3 linked regions of the Kluyveromyces lactis genome follow. The protein of the gene in region 1 purifies or fractionates together with the protein of each later gene. This does not show direct contact. Links are inferred from orthologs where the notes say so. Each region holds a gene or a part of one and is shown in the gene's direction. Other genes may lie near its edges.

The links.
Region 2: the proteins of SEC27 (region 1) and SEC26 purify together in Saccharomyces cerevisiae (affinity purification with mass spectrometry; 6 studies listed by BioGRID). This does not show direct contact. The link is inferred for Kluyveromyces lactis from reciprocal best matches to the Saccharomyces cerevisiae genes SEC27 and SEC26.
Region 3: the proteins of SEC27 (region 1) and GLO3 purify together in Saccharomyces cerevisiae (affinity purification with mass spectrometry; 4 studies listed by BioGRID, with this or other methods). This does not show direct contact. The link is inferred for Kluyveromyces lactis from reciprocal best matches to the Saccharomyces cerevisiae genes SEC27 and GLO3.

Annotation. Positions count from the first base shown.
Region 1 is NC_006038.1:168,550-174,404, forward strand, and holds SEC27 (coatomer subunit beta'), read left to right. Parts: upstream 1-2,096; coding exon 2,097-2,114; intron 2,115-2,346; coding exon 2,347-5,001; downstream 5,002-5,855. Other genes in the region: KLLA0_B01914g (transient receptor potential ion channel family protein), read left to right, coding at 1-372; KLLA0_B01936g (uncharacterized protein), read right to left, coding at 454-1,668; MRM2 (21S rRNA (uridine2791-2'-O) methyltransferase), read right to left, coding at 5,161-5,855. UniProt on the Saccharomyces cerevisiae protein: The coatomer is a cytosolic protein complex that binds to dilysine motifs and reversibly associates with Golgi non-clathrin-coated vesicles, which further mediate biosynthetic protein transport from the ER, via the Golgi up to the trans Golgi network.
Region 2 is NC_006039.1:1,329,063-1,334,278, reverse strand, and holds the start of SEC26 (coatomer subunit beta), read left to right. Parts: upstream 1-2,351; coding exon 2,352-5,216. Other genes in the region: KLLA0_C15301g (uncharacterized protein), read left to right, coding at 1-2,096. UniProt on the Saccharomyces cerevisiae protein: The coatomer is a cytosolic protein complex that binds to dilysine motifs and reversibly associates with Golgi non-clathrin-coated vesicles, which further mediate biosynthetic protein transport from the ER, via the Golgi up to the trans Golgi network.
Region 3 is NC_006041.1:615,978-620,243, forward strand, and holds GLO3 (ADP-ribosylation factor GTPase-activating protein), read left to right. Parts: upstream 1-2,153; coding exon 2,154-3,701; downstream 3,702-4,266. Other genes in the region: MRX3 (Mrx3p), read left to right, coding at 726-1,475. UniProt on the Saccharomyces cerevisiae protein: GTPase-activating protein for the ADP ribosylation factor (ARF) family. Involved in retrograde vesicular transport from the Golgi to the endoplasmic reticulum.

The DNA of each region.
Region 1 (5,855 bases):
GATAAGATATTGCGTAAAATGTCATTGAGGAGAAATAAATCCACTTCGTCCAGGTTAACCGCTGGTAATAGACAAGCTACCGTCACTGCTTCGCATCTTTCCGGTGACTCTAGCTCAGAATCAGAAACGCCAATCGTTAAAACTATTAAAGGGACTCACACAAGAGCAGTGTCTGAGGCAGAAAACGGACTAATAGATAACAGTAGTGATTTTGATTTTGTTACTGACACACAACTCGATACTCCAACAGCTTCACCCCATCGTAAAACTTCGATAAGTGATAGCATAAATTTCAATAGTACTACGGATATGAATGCTACATCCTCAACAGATATTTTCCAACATAACAATAACTCCTACTACAAGTTGTAAATATGAGTGCCGTTTCGTTTCTAAACTCGTATATTATATAAACTTTTCATCGTATTAAACAAATGTATTATCGATTTTTGACTACGGGTGCACATATTCAAACAATTCATCTGAGACGTGCATATTATCCCAATAGTTAAGGAAAACTGAGCATTTTTCTAGTACTCGTGTTAGGTTTGCTGCCATTATTTTATCCGTAATACTTAAAGTTTTCCATAACTTAGTTGTGGCCACTTTATTCAATGTCCTCCAAGGTAAAGATAGTTTGTCCTGTTCTATGGTTGAAAGCTGAAGCAAAGGCGAAATAATATCTTTCAATTTTTCTGTTGCCAACGTGAGTTTGAAATTATCTTCTTTATCATAATGATATCTTTCTGAAACTTCAATCTCTTGAAACCAGGACAACTCTTTTGAGGATTTCCTTCTTGAATACCAATCGATGAGAAGTTCTTTTGTGGAAAGTTTGCTCTTGAAGTCAGGTATCTGGGACATACTTGTATTCATGTAATATGAGCTCAAACTAAAGTTAGTCGGAGCCATAGACAAATTCGGGGTCTGTAAGTATGGAACATATGTCTTTGTTTTTCGCTTTGACAGGAGAGTGATGAATGGGATTAATTTCTTAGCCATAACTTCTGACCAGGAATCAGAATAAGTCGATGCATACAATGGCTGAATTGGTATCGAATTAGATAAAGAACAAAATTCCATTGCATTTGATGTACTTATTCCATCACTCTGTAAAGATTGAAATATCGTTTGTTTGGCATCCATATCCACATCACAATAAAACAAACCGCCAACCCAAGTGTAGGGTATAAAAACATCAAATGGACGGATCGCATACTTCTTTCTTCTGGCCATTTTTAAACAATGAAAGTTCTTCAAACTATTATTGGGATTTTCCTGTTCTTTAGATTCAAAAAAACACCACGGTTGGTTCCAATCCTTTACATCATTAGTAAGTTGCTTCTCAGTTTCAAAGACAACTTTACCCTCGTTACAATAAGTTATCTTCAAAGCTTTCCCTGATCTTTTATATAGCTGGTGAAAATAAAATACCCTGTGTACTTTAAATCCAGTGAAGAGCTTTGTATCTCCAGGCAAAGAATCTACTGGAATCGTTGCCCCACTCCATATCTCAAACGTTTTCTTCATATTCATGTTGGCAGAGTTGAAACCTACCGCACAAGCTTTATCAATTGTATGAACAGGGTATAGTGCTTTCCCGTAAGCAAAATCAAAAAATAGAGCAGAACAAAAGAGAATCAACAACCATAGTTGACCTTTACTCATTCTATAACAAACCACACAACTGCTGTAGCTTCTAATAAAATGAGACTATCAAGACAAATAGCAGTTGTTCTGCTGAATAGCCTAAATCGCGCCCTTTGTCGAACAAATATAATAATTAGTAATATTCTTCAACTTTAGCTTTGAATACAAAATGGAGAAGATTGATGTAATATTAGGGGAAATAAGTCATATAGCTCGTAGTACTCTCGAGCCGAAACGGTTCAAGTTGATGCTTTATTTATGTGACACTGACACTGACATCAATATCATAATAACATTACCCGGTCCTATGCCATGTCCATCAACGGCTTTGAAAAAAAAATGTTTGAAAGGGGAATTTGAATAATAAAGATCCATTCATGATTTTAACACGTTAGTTGAAGAAAACATCGAAGGTAGAGACCCAACAGAGCGGAAGGAAATTAGCAATGAAACTTGACATCAATGTATGTGACACATTGTGTACTAGAGTAATTTGTGAGGTGCTTTTATCACGGAGAATCGCTGTTGAACGTTAGCAATTGCATATTAAGTATCTTAGGCGTTTTTCTGGTATCAATACATTTATGTTTTATGTTTTGATTCAACAGATTATATTTCTTCAGCCCTTATCAGCAACTAAAAGAAAGAGCTTTTACTAACATTTTTTTCATCTATGGTGACTTTATTTGTCTTTAGAAAAAGCTCAGTGCCAGAACTGACAGGGTTAAGGGCATTGACTTTCATCCTGAGGAACCTTGGGTTTTAATTACCTTGTACTCAGGAAGAATTGAGATATGGAACTACGAGACGCAAACGCAAGTGAGATCTATTCCATTATGTGATGCTCCAGTGAGAGCTGGTAGATTCATTGCAAGAAAGAACTGGGTTGTTGTTGGTTCCGATGACTTTAAATTAAGAGTTTATAATTATAACACCGGTGAAAAAGTGACCGAATTCGAAGCACATCCTGATTATATCCGTTCCATTGCTGTGCATCCAACGAAGCCATTCGTTCTGACAGGTTCTGATGATCTGACTATTAAGTTATGGAACTGGGAAAAGAATTGGGGCTGCCAACAAACCTTTACCGGTCATGAGCACTTCGTCATGTCTGTTGCATTCAACCCAAAGGACCCCAACCAATTTGCCTCCGGTTGTTTGGATCACACTATCAAAGTTTGGTCGATTGGTCAAGATGTTCCAAATTTCACCTTGAAAGCACATGAAACTAAAGGTGTGAATTATGTCGACTATTACCCGTTACAAGATAAGCCTTATTTGATTACCACTTCCGATGACGGTACCATCAAGGTGTGGGATTACCAGACAAAATCTAATGTTGCTACTTTAGAGGGACATATGGCTAACGTGTCATATGCTGTATTCCATCCGACTTTACCTATCATTATCTCAGGTTCCGAGGATGGAACTCTCAAGATTTGGAATGCAAATACATACAAACTAGAGAAAACGTTGAACATCGGGCTTGAAAGAAGTTGGTGTATCGCTACTCATCCATCTGGTAAACGTAATTACATTGCATCGGGTTTCGACAATGGTTTCACAGTTCTATCCCTAGGTGATGATCAACCAAAATTATCTTTGGATCCAGTTGGTAAGTTAGTTTATTGCGGTGGTAAAGCATCAGCCACTGACGTCTTCTCTGCCATCATTAGAGGTAATGAAGAGGTAGAAGAAGGCGGTGCCCTTCCTTTGCAAAGCAAAGAATTAGGGTCGATCGACGTTTTCCCACAAAGTTTGAAGCATTCCCCAAATGGTAGATTTGTCACTGTTGTTGGTGATGACGAATTCATTGTGTACACTGCTTTAGCATGGAGAAACAAAGCTTTCGGCAAATGCCATGACTTTGCATGGGGCCCAGATTCTAATAGTTATGCGTTAATCACGGAAACGGGTGCAGTGACCTACTACAAGAACTTCAAACAAGTATCTTCTTGGTCAATTCCGCTTGATTACGGTGTCGAAAAAATCTTCCCTGGTTCAGTATTAGGTGTCAAAGCTGACGGCTTCGTATATTTCTTTGATTGGGAATCAGGTAATCTAGTGAAAAGAATTGATGTCGATGCTAAGGATATAATCTGGTCAGATAATGGAGAGCTTGTTATGATCATCAACAAAGACCATGAAACAGACTCTGCTGAAGAAGCTAATGCTTACGCTCTGTTGTTCAATAAGGATGTTTACGATGAGGCGGTTTCAGCTGGAAGTATTGATGAAGATGGTGTAGAAGATGCGTTTGACGTATTATACGAAGTTTCAGAGGGTATCACGTCAGGTAAGTGGGTTGGTGATGTCTTCATTTTCACCACCCCAACAAATAGATTAAACTACTTTGTTGGTGGTAAAATCTATAATCTTGCACATTTCGATAAGCAGATGTACTTATTAGGTTATTTGCCAAGAGATGATAAAGTTTATTTGGCTGACAAAGATATCCATGTTTATGGTTATGAACTATCTATTGATGTTTTGGAATTCGAGACATTGGTACTCAGAGGCGAACTAGCTGAGGCCAAATCATCCGTACTACCTAATGTTCAAGGAAAAGAAAACTTGCTAAAGATCTCTAGATTTTTGGAGGGACAAGATTTGTTTGAAGATGCCTTAGAAATTTCACCAGACGCTGAGCAGAAGTTTGATCTAGCTATTAAATTAGGCCGACTATCACTGGCGCAAGAAATATTGTCCGAGCAGGAAAGTGAGAACAGATGGATTCAATTGGGTGATGCTGCCTTAAAGAAATTCAATTTCACTTTAGCTTTGCAATGTTATGAAAAGGCAAATGATCTAGAATCCCTTTTCTTGTTATATTCTTCATTCAACAATAGGGAAGAGTTGGTTTCATTGGCAAAGAATGCTGAGACTTCTGGTAAGTTCAACCTAGCTTTCAATGCTTATTGGGTAGCAGGTGACATAGCTGGAGCAAAGGACTTGCTATTAAAATCTAATAGGGTGCCAGAAGCTGCCCTATTAAGTTTAACATACGGGGAATCGGCAGAATCCATCAACACTGTAGTAGACGTATGGAAGCAAACTTTGATCAATGACGGTAAAGCCGCAATTGCTGAAAGAGTTGGAGTTGTCGGTAAGACAGAAGGTTTTCCATCAACGAATACACATACCTTACTTGATTTAGATACACCAAGCGAGAGCATAAAAGAAGCGGCTCCTGTAAACCATAAGTCAGAGGAGGATGTCGCAGTTGAAGAAAAAGCGTTGGATACCGAGGAAAATAAGGATGAAGATGAAGATGAAGAAGCATTCAAGGATTCATCTGAAGAGCCTCAAGGTTCAAAAGACGATGATAAACCCGCTGCAAAGGCGGAATAACTGTACGTTCCCCAACTCCTAAAAGAAAAAATGAACTACGATAAATTCATAATCCGTAAATAATGTATTAATATGCTAGTATATTAACATGAACTAAACGATTACAATCCGTGAGTCTTGAAGATTCTATCAAACTGTTTAAAATATTTACAAGTACAATTATTCCTCTAAAAACACCTTCAATTTATCTATATCAGTTTTCTTCCCGCGAGCCACGAAATACAGTTCTTTTGATTCATTTCTCGATGCATTGGGTTTGAATCTGTCGACTTTTTTGAATACCTTTTTAAGTCTCTTTTCAAGAAGGGTATCTTCGCTTCCAGCATATAATTTACAAGTGAATGAACCTCCCGGTTTTAATAGGTCGATTGCTACAATTAATGCAGCATCACATAAGTCCATCGACATATAATGATCTTTACTTTGTATGCCTGTCGTGTTTGCCATCATATCGCTAAGCACAACATCGACCGGGTATCGTTCGATGTTCTGACTGATATCTGTCTGTGAGAATAGCTCCTTATACTCCTCTGTTTCCTTCAAATGGTTTAACTCTTCCTCTAGCATGTGCTGGAGATACCCATGATCCTTATGTAATTGATCATGCTTGTTTAGCTGGATATGACGAGCAAAGCAAAGTCTGATCAATTCATGAGTCTTTTTCGATAGGATGTTAGCCTGTAACGAATACACTCCCTTTGGCGGAGTACAACGTAACAAATCAACCCCCATGATCATTCCACCTGAACCGATCCTTTTCCTCGCTACTTGTGACCAGGCACCCGGCGCAAACCCAAGATCTAAAACTTTCTGATTTTGTTTGAAGAACCGGTATTTATCATCAATGTCCATTA
Region 2 (5,216 bases), on another chromosome or scaffold:
AAAGAAGTAAAAGGAAATCCTTTTTATTCTTCGGAGGCTCCAACCAGGATCAAAGGAATAAATCCCAAGAAACTAGCAATAGCCGTAACTCCTCTAGCGCTAAAGCTTTGCCGCAACACAAGCCCTTACACAAGCAGCCTCTGAATAATACCCAAATGCTGAAAGATGAGGTCGAACCGCTATCAGAATTGAAAACCAATGATAATAATAAAGGCCCTCAAGCGGAGAGGCTGCAACAAAACATACCAATACGTCAGGCTACCATTGGAAGACGTAGGCCGCCTCCACCGGTAGATATAAGTAATTTTAGGAGACCTCTAAAATCAGAACCATCTGTTTCCACTGTTACATCTACTGGTATGGAAACCGGAACGATATCCTCTACATCACCTGCGGAAGTAAAATCTGGTAAATCACCGCAGCAGTCATTCACAACTCCGCAAGTAAGAGACCTGGAACAACAAATGGATGAACAGAACTTTCAGCCCGGCCATCAGCGTCAAAGATCAGAGGTTGAACAACTGGTGGATCATTTGGATGATTTTATCAACCAATCCAGCGCTGACGTTGAGAATACTCCTGGTTACTCGGATGGAGGGGAAATACCTCTTAGACAACTAGACACAAAAGTTGATACTGTTAGTGATGCTGAGAGCGCCAAGAATATAACACCTTTGTATGGGAGATCTGAAGCCACCGAAGATATCAGTGAATCCGATGTTAACTATTCTGATGGTGAACCGTCCATGGATGAAATGTTTTCCTTCAACGAGTCCATTAACAAAAAGAATGCGATTACCGATCTCCAACAAAGCACTGCCGCCTCATCTTTAAGTGATGTAGGAGGCATTCCAACATCCTCGCGATTTGTCGTTACAAACGCCGACCAAACCTCTGGCTCTGAATCCGAAGAAAATTATGCGGATCTGCACGAATACGAAGCGGGTTATGATCAAATGCCAGAGCCAGAACAAGAGCATGGAAGTACAGATGAAGATGATTTATATCAAATGATAGGTGGATCAGAGTACGAAAGAAGGAATTTCAGAGTAGTTAACGAAGAAAAACCAAACTTTTATTTCAATGACAGCACGAGTGAAGATGATAATTCTTACATGAATACAGATACCAATTCCATAACCGCATCGCTGGCAAGACGCAGTTCTTTATCTTCATCTAAAAAAGGTGCAGCATCTTCGTTATTAAGTAATACTGAATCTCGTCAATCTTCAGCACTGGAAGCAAAGTCCATTGATAACGACACCATCAACACGACTCCGTCATCAGAATTCAAGAAAAGTTTGACCAAGGGATCGATTCCAGATAAAAATGTTCGACTCATCTCAAGCTACATAGAAGAGCTACGGCTCTTGTACTTCCCCACGTCAAATTCCTTACAGTTGCCTCCAGATCTACCTTATGCTTTGAAGAACAAGAATACTCTTGAACAACCACAAAATATCAAAGTTACAATACGAACAAGTACTAGACAAGTCGGTATAAAGCACGGCAAGGCCAAACAGAAGCTATTATCACTTGAAACTACAAAAGAAGAGGAAGAAGAAGAGGAAAATAACAGTACTACAGGCCTCAAATTCAATACCGAGTCCACAAAAGTTGATCATACTAAGGAATTTCATACTTTGTTCAACAAGGATGAAAAAATTTCCGAGGCAGACCAAGATATTCTTGATGATATTCCTGGTGATGAGGCATACGATAGCGATGATTTAATGGCACCGTTGCGTGAGAACCCAAAACAAAGAATTCATGACGAAGTTTCCCAAACGCGCTTGAAAAGATCAGATACTGTATCCAGCTATTTCACGAGAAATGCTGGTAGAATGAGAAGCGGTACTCTAGACGTAACGTACAGTCCACAGCTACCACTAGATCTACGGAAATATAACCTGATTGAAGAATCTCAAAAGCCATGTACTCCTGCAGTACATGAAAAAGGTGACACTAATCCCAAATCTCATAAATCTAGCATTTCGAATGCTGACGATGATTACGAGCTTGACGTAGCAGATTTCGGTTACTACCGCGGTACCGCTGGAACAGGATTGCATATAACCAACCCAGATTCAGAATAAACTATCATTCAAACAATATTACTGCTGCATCTATATCTTGATCTATACGTATCTTGTACCAATGTATATATTAACGTTTCTAATACCCGGTCAAATTCATTGTTACCCGTACTTTGTTTTATGTTGATTTTCAGGACGAAAATGAGATTCTGAAATAAAGAACATGCTGTTTTGGAACAGTTCTGTTATGAAATAACATATGCGAGAACCAGGAAGTTAAAAGAAGCTACACAAGACACACAGGTCAATTGAGGTATGACAGTCGGCGTCGAACAACCTGCGTATACGTTAGTGTACGACCCCAATCCAAATGGGGTCACATATACCGTATCAGACTTCCAAAAGGCATTGGAAAAGGGGTCTGATACTGAAAAGATCGCGACCATGAAGAGGATCTTGGTGACCATGTTAGATGGTAATCCATTACCAGATTTGTTGATGCACATCATCAGATTTGTGATGCCTTCAAAGAACAAGCAATTGAAGAAGCTTTTATACTTTTACTGGGAAATTGTTCCAAAATTAGATCGTGAAGGTAAATTGAAGCAAGAAATGATTCTTGTCTGCAACGCTATCCAACATGATTTGCAACATCCAAACGAATACATCAGGGGCAATACCTTAAGATTCTTGACGAAATTGAAAGAAGCAGAACTTTTAGAGCAAATGGTTCCTTCTGTCCGTGCTTGTTTGGAATACAGACACGCATACGTTCGTAAGTATGCAATCTTAGCAGTTCTTTCCATTTACAAAGTCAGCGACCATTTGATTCCTGATGCTTGTGAAGTGATTGATTCCTTTTTGGTTGCAGAAACTGATCCAATTTGTAAGAGAAATGCTTTCCTAGGTCTTGCAGAATTGGACCGTGAAGCTGCGTTGAACTACCTACAGGACAACCTAACTTCGATTGAAAATTTGGATGCTTTGCTACAAAACGCCTTCATTAGTTTCATTAGAAAGGATGCTATCAAAACTCCAGGATTGGTCTCTCAGTATGTTGAATTGTTGCAAGATCTTTTAGTTTCTACTCGTTCTACGGATGTCATGTACGAAGCTGCCATTACTTTAACTGTTCTAACCAATAAAGAAGCTATTTTATTGACCGTAGCTAACAAGCTAATTGATTTGGCCACAAAAGAATCTGATAACAACATCAAGTTGGTTGTTTTAGAAAAAATCAACGAAATAAACGAGAAGAATCCAGGCTCTTTAGAGGATCTAACATTGGATATTCTACGTGTTTTGAACGCACAAGATTTGGATGTCCGTGCTAAGGCTTTGGATATCTCCTTAGAATTGATTACGTCCAGAAACGTAGACAGTGTAGTTAAGTTATTGAGGAAAGAATTACAATCTACTGCTGATAGCAGTAACGATAAAACTCTGGAGTACAGGCAATTATTGATCAAATCCATTAACAAAGTGGCAATAAGATTTATTGAAGTCTCCTCCAATGTTGTCTCATTGCTTCTAGATTTTATCGGTAACTTGTCGTCTGAAAGTGCCAATGATGTCATTTCCTTTACAAAACAGGTCATTGAAAGGTATCCTGAGTTAAGATCTGAGATTTTAACTACTTTGATTGAGACATTGCATGAAGTAAAGTCAGCAAAGGCTTACCGTGGTGCTCTTTGGGTACTAGGTGAGCATGCCCAATCCGAAGCAGAAATCCAGAATACCTGGAAGCACATCCGTTCAAGTATAGGTGAAGTTCCAATTGTTCAATCTGAACTGAGAAGAGTTCAAAATGATGACGAAGACGATACTGAAAAGGCCCCAATAGTATCCACAGGGCCGGTAGTTTTGCCAGATGGTACTTATGCAACCGAATCTGCTCTATCTGTCTCAGAAAAGGTCAAATCCACCTCAAACGAGGAAAAAGAAGCAAGACCTCCTTTACGTCGTTTCGTCCTAAATGGAGATTTCTTTACTGCCTCTGTGTTGGCTAACTCTATCGTTAAATTGGTGTTGAAATTCGAAAAGATTTCCAAGAACACTTCTGTAACTAACGCCCTAAAGGCCGAAGGGTTGTTGATTTTGGTTAGTATCATCAGATTAGGTCAAAGTAACTTAGTAGAAAAGAAGATTGACGAGGACTCTGCTGAAAGACTAATGACGGCAATTTCGGTATTGATGGACGAGATTTCTACCGAAGAAAGTCAAGCAGAGAAAGAACTTTTGAGTTTGGCATTCTTGGAAGCTACCAACGAATCATACAAATCAAGAGTCAATGTTACTTTGAAGAAGAATGCTGCCAAGAGATCAAACTACCTAGCCAAGCACGCCGAGGCCATCGATAAATCCATCGTTTTCAGACAATTTAAGAATGCAGGCTTGCACAATACCCCCGTCGATTCAATCGAAGAAGATATAAAATTGGCTACCACCGGTACTGTATCATATTCCAAACTACAAGCTAATTCTATCACTTCAAAATTGAAGAAGATCGTCCCATTGACTGGTTTCAGCGATCCTGTTTATGCCGAGTGTTATATCACTAATCACCAATTCGATGTTGTGTTAGATGTTCTATTAGTGAACCAAACCAAGGATACTTTGAAAAACCTACATGTTCAATTCGCTACTCTTGGTGACTTAAAAATTATTGACCACCCACCTAGCACCAACGTTATTCCACATGGGTTCCACAAAATTACGATAACAGCAAAGGTGTCCTCAGCAGATACTGGTGTTATTTTCGGTAACATTATATATGATGGTGGTCACGGTCAAGATTCTCGTTATGTCATCTTGAATGACGTTCATATCGACACAATGGATTATGTGAAACCAGCAATCTGCGATGATAACAGTTTCCGTAAGATGTGGAATGCGTTTGAATGGGAAAATAAACTTCGTATCAAATCCAAATTACCATCTTTACGCGGTTATTTAGAGAAGTTGGTGGAAGTTACACATATGAAGGTTCTAACCCCTGAAGAGGCACTCGGCGACAATGATTCCAGATTCCTAAGTTGTAACTTATATTCTAGATCTACATTTGGCGAGGACGCTTTGGCTAACCTGTGCATAGAGAAGGATCCAATCACACAAGAAATTGTTGGTGAAATCCGTATTCGTTCAAAGACCCAAGGGTTAGCTTTAACCAATGGTGACAAT
Region 3 (4,266 bases), on another chromosome or scaffold:
AAAGGAAAATACCCTTGCCTCAAATTTCCCCGCAGCATATATTTTTGTTTATTTCCAGTAGCAATTTATTTTCAAAGCACTCCCAGCCAGTTTTGTATGTAACTTGTATACTTGTAGCAAAAAATAATATGTTCCGAAGAAAAAACGAGAAAAAAAAAAAAAAAAGATGGAAAAAAAAGATGATCAAGAAATTAGAAAACATTGTTCAGAACTAGAGGTATCTCTAGTACTGTTGGGATGAATTTTTGGCGGAAAACTCGAATTCGAATGTAGTGAGGATACGGATCAGATACTGGATATGGATTTGGGCTAGGCAATTGCAATTTTCATTCACGCCGCTTTTCAAACAATTCATGTGGGGGGAGGACAATATTATTTTCCCCACAGGAAAAGTGGAAAACCGGAAAAGAAATGCGGGATGACGAATTAATGGATATTTACCCGGTGTACTGGGAATGATAGATCACGTGGTTAGAAACACTCTGGTGCGTGTTGTTTTTTTTGTCCACCTCACCTCTCTCTACTCCGCTCCACCTAGGTCTAAAAACAATAATTATCAAAGTCTGGAATGGTTTAGGGTAGGGTAGGGTAGGAACTATCCGAAAGGTTTAAATGGTTAGCATCAAGCATTGCTCCAGAAGTAACTGATTATACCTGGCGTGTTTGAGAGAATATCCCGAAGCAAGTTTTCCAAGTTTGAGAGTTTTGTTTTCAGTGGTCGAATTATGAGCGGGAAGATTTCCAGGTACGTTATTTTACCCTTAACGGGGTTCACATTGGGCTTCGGATATTTCGTTAAGCCATGGCATTTGGATGAATCAGCACTACAAACGTTACATAGACCGCTACAGGACCAACGGACCGATGTATTGGATAAACTTAGGGCCACAGAATGGGTCAAGAAACTTAAAGAGTCGTCTGATTATATGATGCATCGTCAATCGGAGAAGATCCCTGTACCTCATAGAGATTATCACGTAGGTCAAGGGTTGCTTTACGGACCAACTAAGCTTGAAATTGATCCGGTGGTGTTTACAGATAATGCACAGAACAAGATCCACGTCATATATCATTTGGGCCACAATTTAGGCAACGAAAAGAATGCAGTGCATAAAGGTGTACTTTCATTGCTATTAGACGAGGCTTTGTGTTTCTGCGGGTTCCCTACACTTCCCAGTAAGCGTGGAGTCACTGCATCTCTAGACATATCGTTCCAGAAGGATGTTCCAGTTAATTCCACCATTGTGCTCAACGCCCAGGTCATTGAAACCAAGGGAAGAAAATGTATCATTACAGGAACGTTGGAATCACCACCTCTTGATCCTTCTACGAAACTGGGATCCGTAAAGTCCTTAGTGGCTAAGAGCGTACCCAATTGGATATACAACCCTAAACCGACCGTCTACGCTACTGCAACGTGTATTTTGGTGGAACCTAAATGGTTTAAATACGTTTCATGGATTAACATATTCTGATCTAATACCACCTTAAGGTCTCCGTTATATATGCCAATAATATTATATTTAGTTCACATACTACAACATTCAATATTAAGTATACCATATGCTAGCATTGTACTGGTGCTCGGACATGATGAATACCAGTTAATTCATCATCCCATTCCCACTATTGTATTGTTTGGTCCGGGTAATAATAATACAGACTATTCATATCTGCTATTTTCTTTGACATCTTTAAATTGAAAGATCGAATTTCTAAACAGAAAAGGTTTTAACACAGGACAGAACGGTTATTCAAATTTTGGACCGTTAAGGAACGTAGTTTTTGGTCTTAGTTAAGTTTTTTACACTGCTGGTAACATCATAACAGGTGCAACAGACTACTGTACACACTTTGAGCGCGGGAGGGACACGCCGAACTTACAGAAGTATTTTTCGCAAGTTATTATTAAGGTGGTAAGAAAGCGTGTTATTAAGTACTCTGTTTTCTAAAATTGATACTTAAGAGTTTTTTCTTGCGATTGATCTAGCTTTTGAGATACGATCTGAATTTACCAGGATAATCTGCTACAGGAACGTGAATCTTTATTGCCGTATCTTAGCATCAACTTATTAACTTAACACAAGGGTGTTTTTTTTTCCGGAATTTCAGCATTTCATTATCATTACAAGAGGATTTATTTTAATTAAACCATGGCTAGCATTGACGAATCGGGAGAAGTGTACTGTGACAAGGAAGTCGTGACTAAAGTGTTTGCTAGACTGACAACCAAGTCTGAAAACAGGGCATGCTTCGACTGTGGCGCCAAAAATCCTACCTGGACTTCAGTTCCGTTCGGTGTTCTTCTTTGCATCGATTGTTCCGGTGAGCACAGAAATATGGGTACCCATATTACTTTTGTGAAGTCAAGTAATTTGGACAAATGGACTGTCAACAATTTGAGAAGGTTCAAACTTGGTGGTAACGATAAGGCAAAGGATTTTTTCTTAAAGAACAACGGCAAACAATATTTGGGTTCTTCTAGCAACCGGATGGCTAAATATACAAGCCAGGTAGCCAAGAAATGGCAGAGCCATTTGAATCAAAAAGTGGCTAGAGACGCTGAACAACATCCAGGTGAAATTGTATTTTCAGCAGAAGATGAACAAGAATTCACAGGGGGCAGTTCTGGTTCTTCAAAGAGCAACAGCGTTGATGATTTCTTCTCAAACTGGGAAAAGCCTGTAAACCAAAGTAACATATCTTTGACGTCATCTCCTAGAAATTTAACACCAACCAATACTGGCAATAGGAATGGTTCTTCTATTCTGTCCGGAAGTGGTTCTGCCAACAAAACCAGCAACGGTGCTAGATCCACTACAACTAAGAGAACTACTTTGACAGGATCAGCAGGCTCTTCTCAAGCAAAGAAACATTCCATCCTTTCCTCCTCTCGTAAGTCAAAGAAACCGGTTGCAGCCAAGAAGGTGGATGCTGATTTGTTTGATCAATTCGAAAAAGAAGCCAAGGAAGAGGAAGAATTGGCCTCAAGTCTCGCCACCACTTCCCTTAACTCCAATAATTTATCGAATTCCATATACGATGCCACTCCTGCGCCATTCCAACAAAAATCTGGTTTCAGCTCTAGCAGCAAAATAACCAAGCCATCTACCAATGTCGAAGACGCGGAGGACGACGAATGGTCCAACAGATACAATGATGGTATTACTTTCGATCAAATCAATGCTTCCAATGTAGGATTAACTGGAAGCAAAGATGCGGCAAAACCAAAGTTGGCTAAACTTGGGTTTGGTATGACTTCCAATAATGCAGAAAAGGAACAAAACAAAACTAACGAATCAAGGAGGGCTGCCTCTGGTCCAAAGTACACAGGTAAGATTGCCCAAAAATTCGGAGAACAAAAGGGTATCTCTTCAGACCAGGTGTTTTCTCGTGGAAGCTACGATGACGAGGCAAGTAAAGAAGCTCAAGAAAAACTCAGACAGAACTTCAGTAATGCCACATCTATTTCTTCAGCCTCATACTTTGGCGAAGGCCAGAGCGAAGATCAGTTCGACGAATTTGGAAGACCATTGAATCCACAAAATGGAACAAGAACAAACAGAAGCGGTTCTCTTGGCGGACGAAACTTCATGGAGTTCACGTCTGGTGCTGATGACGAATTTGACCTGTTGAAGAACGCTGTTGAACAAGGAGCGCAAAAGCTAGGAAACTACCTAAGAGATTACATGAGAAATTAATTCCTATGTTAGTTTATTGTAAGATAAAGTATAGTCATTCATCAAGGAGTTAACGTTAATAGTATCAGTGCCATAAGTTCCCCATAAGTTCCCTTCTATGAAAAAAAATCTGAACAAAACTTTATGGCTTTATTGTAATAGAAACAAATAAACAAATAGATGAAAGCTTGTCCTTAATAGGATACCCTTTTCAGTCACACATCTCTTCGTTGTACCATAATATGAATACCGCCATTATTTGGATAATAATAAATATAGGATCATTCCAAACACCCAGTGTGTAGTCAGAGTTTGAGATTTTTCAACACACCTACATTTTCCAAGGAATACCAAGTGTCTATTGTGCTTTACGTATTATTTAATGATTATTTAGTAGCTTGAGTAGCGAAATAAGGATTATGCAATCCAGTGATCATGACAATTATTGATTAAGTAGCATTTAGAAAGTTGATTTAAAGAATGATATGTTCTTGAAAGACAAGAAGATTAAGGTCGATTCGAAGTAAGATATTAACGCGTAGTCATGGGCCATAAACAAATCTTGTCATGTCGGAGGTATATCTCG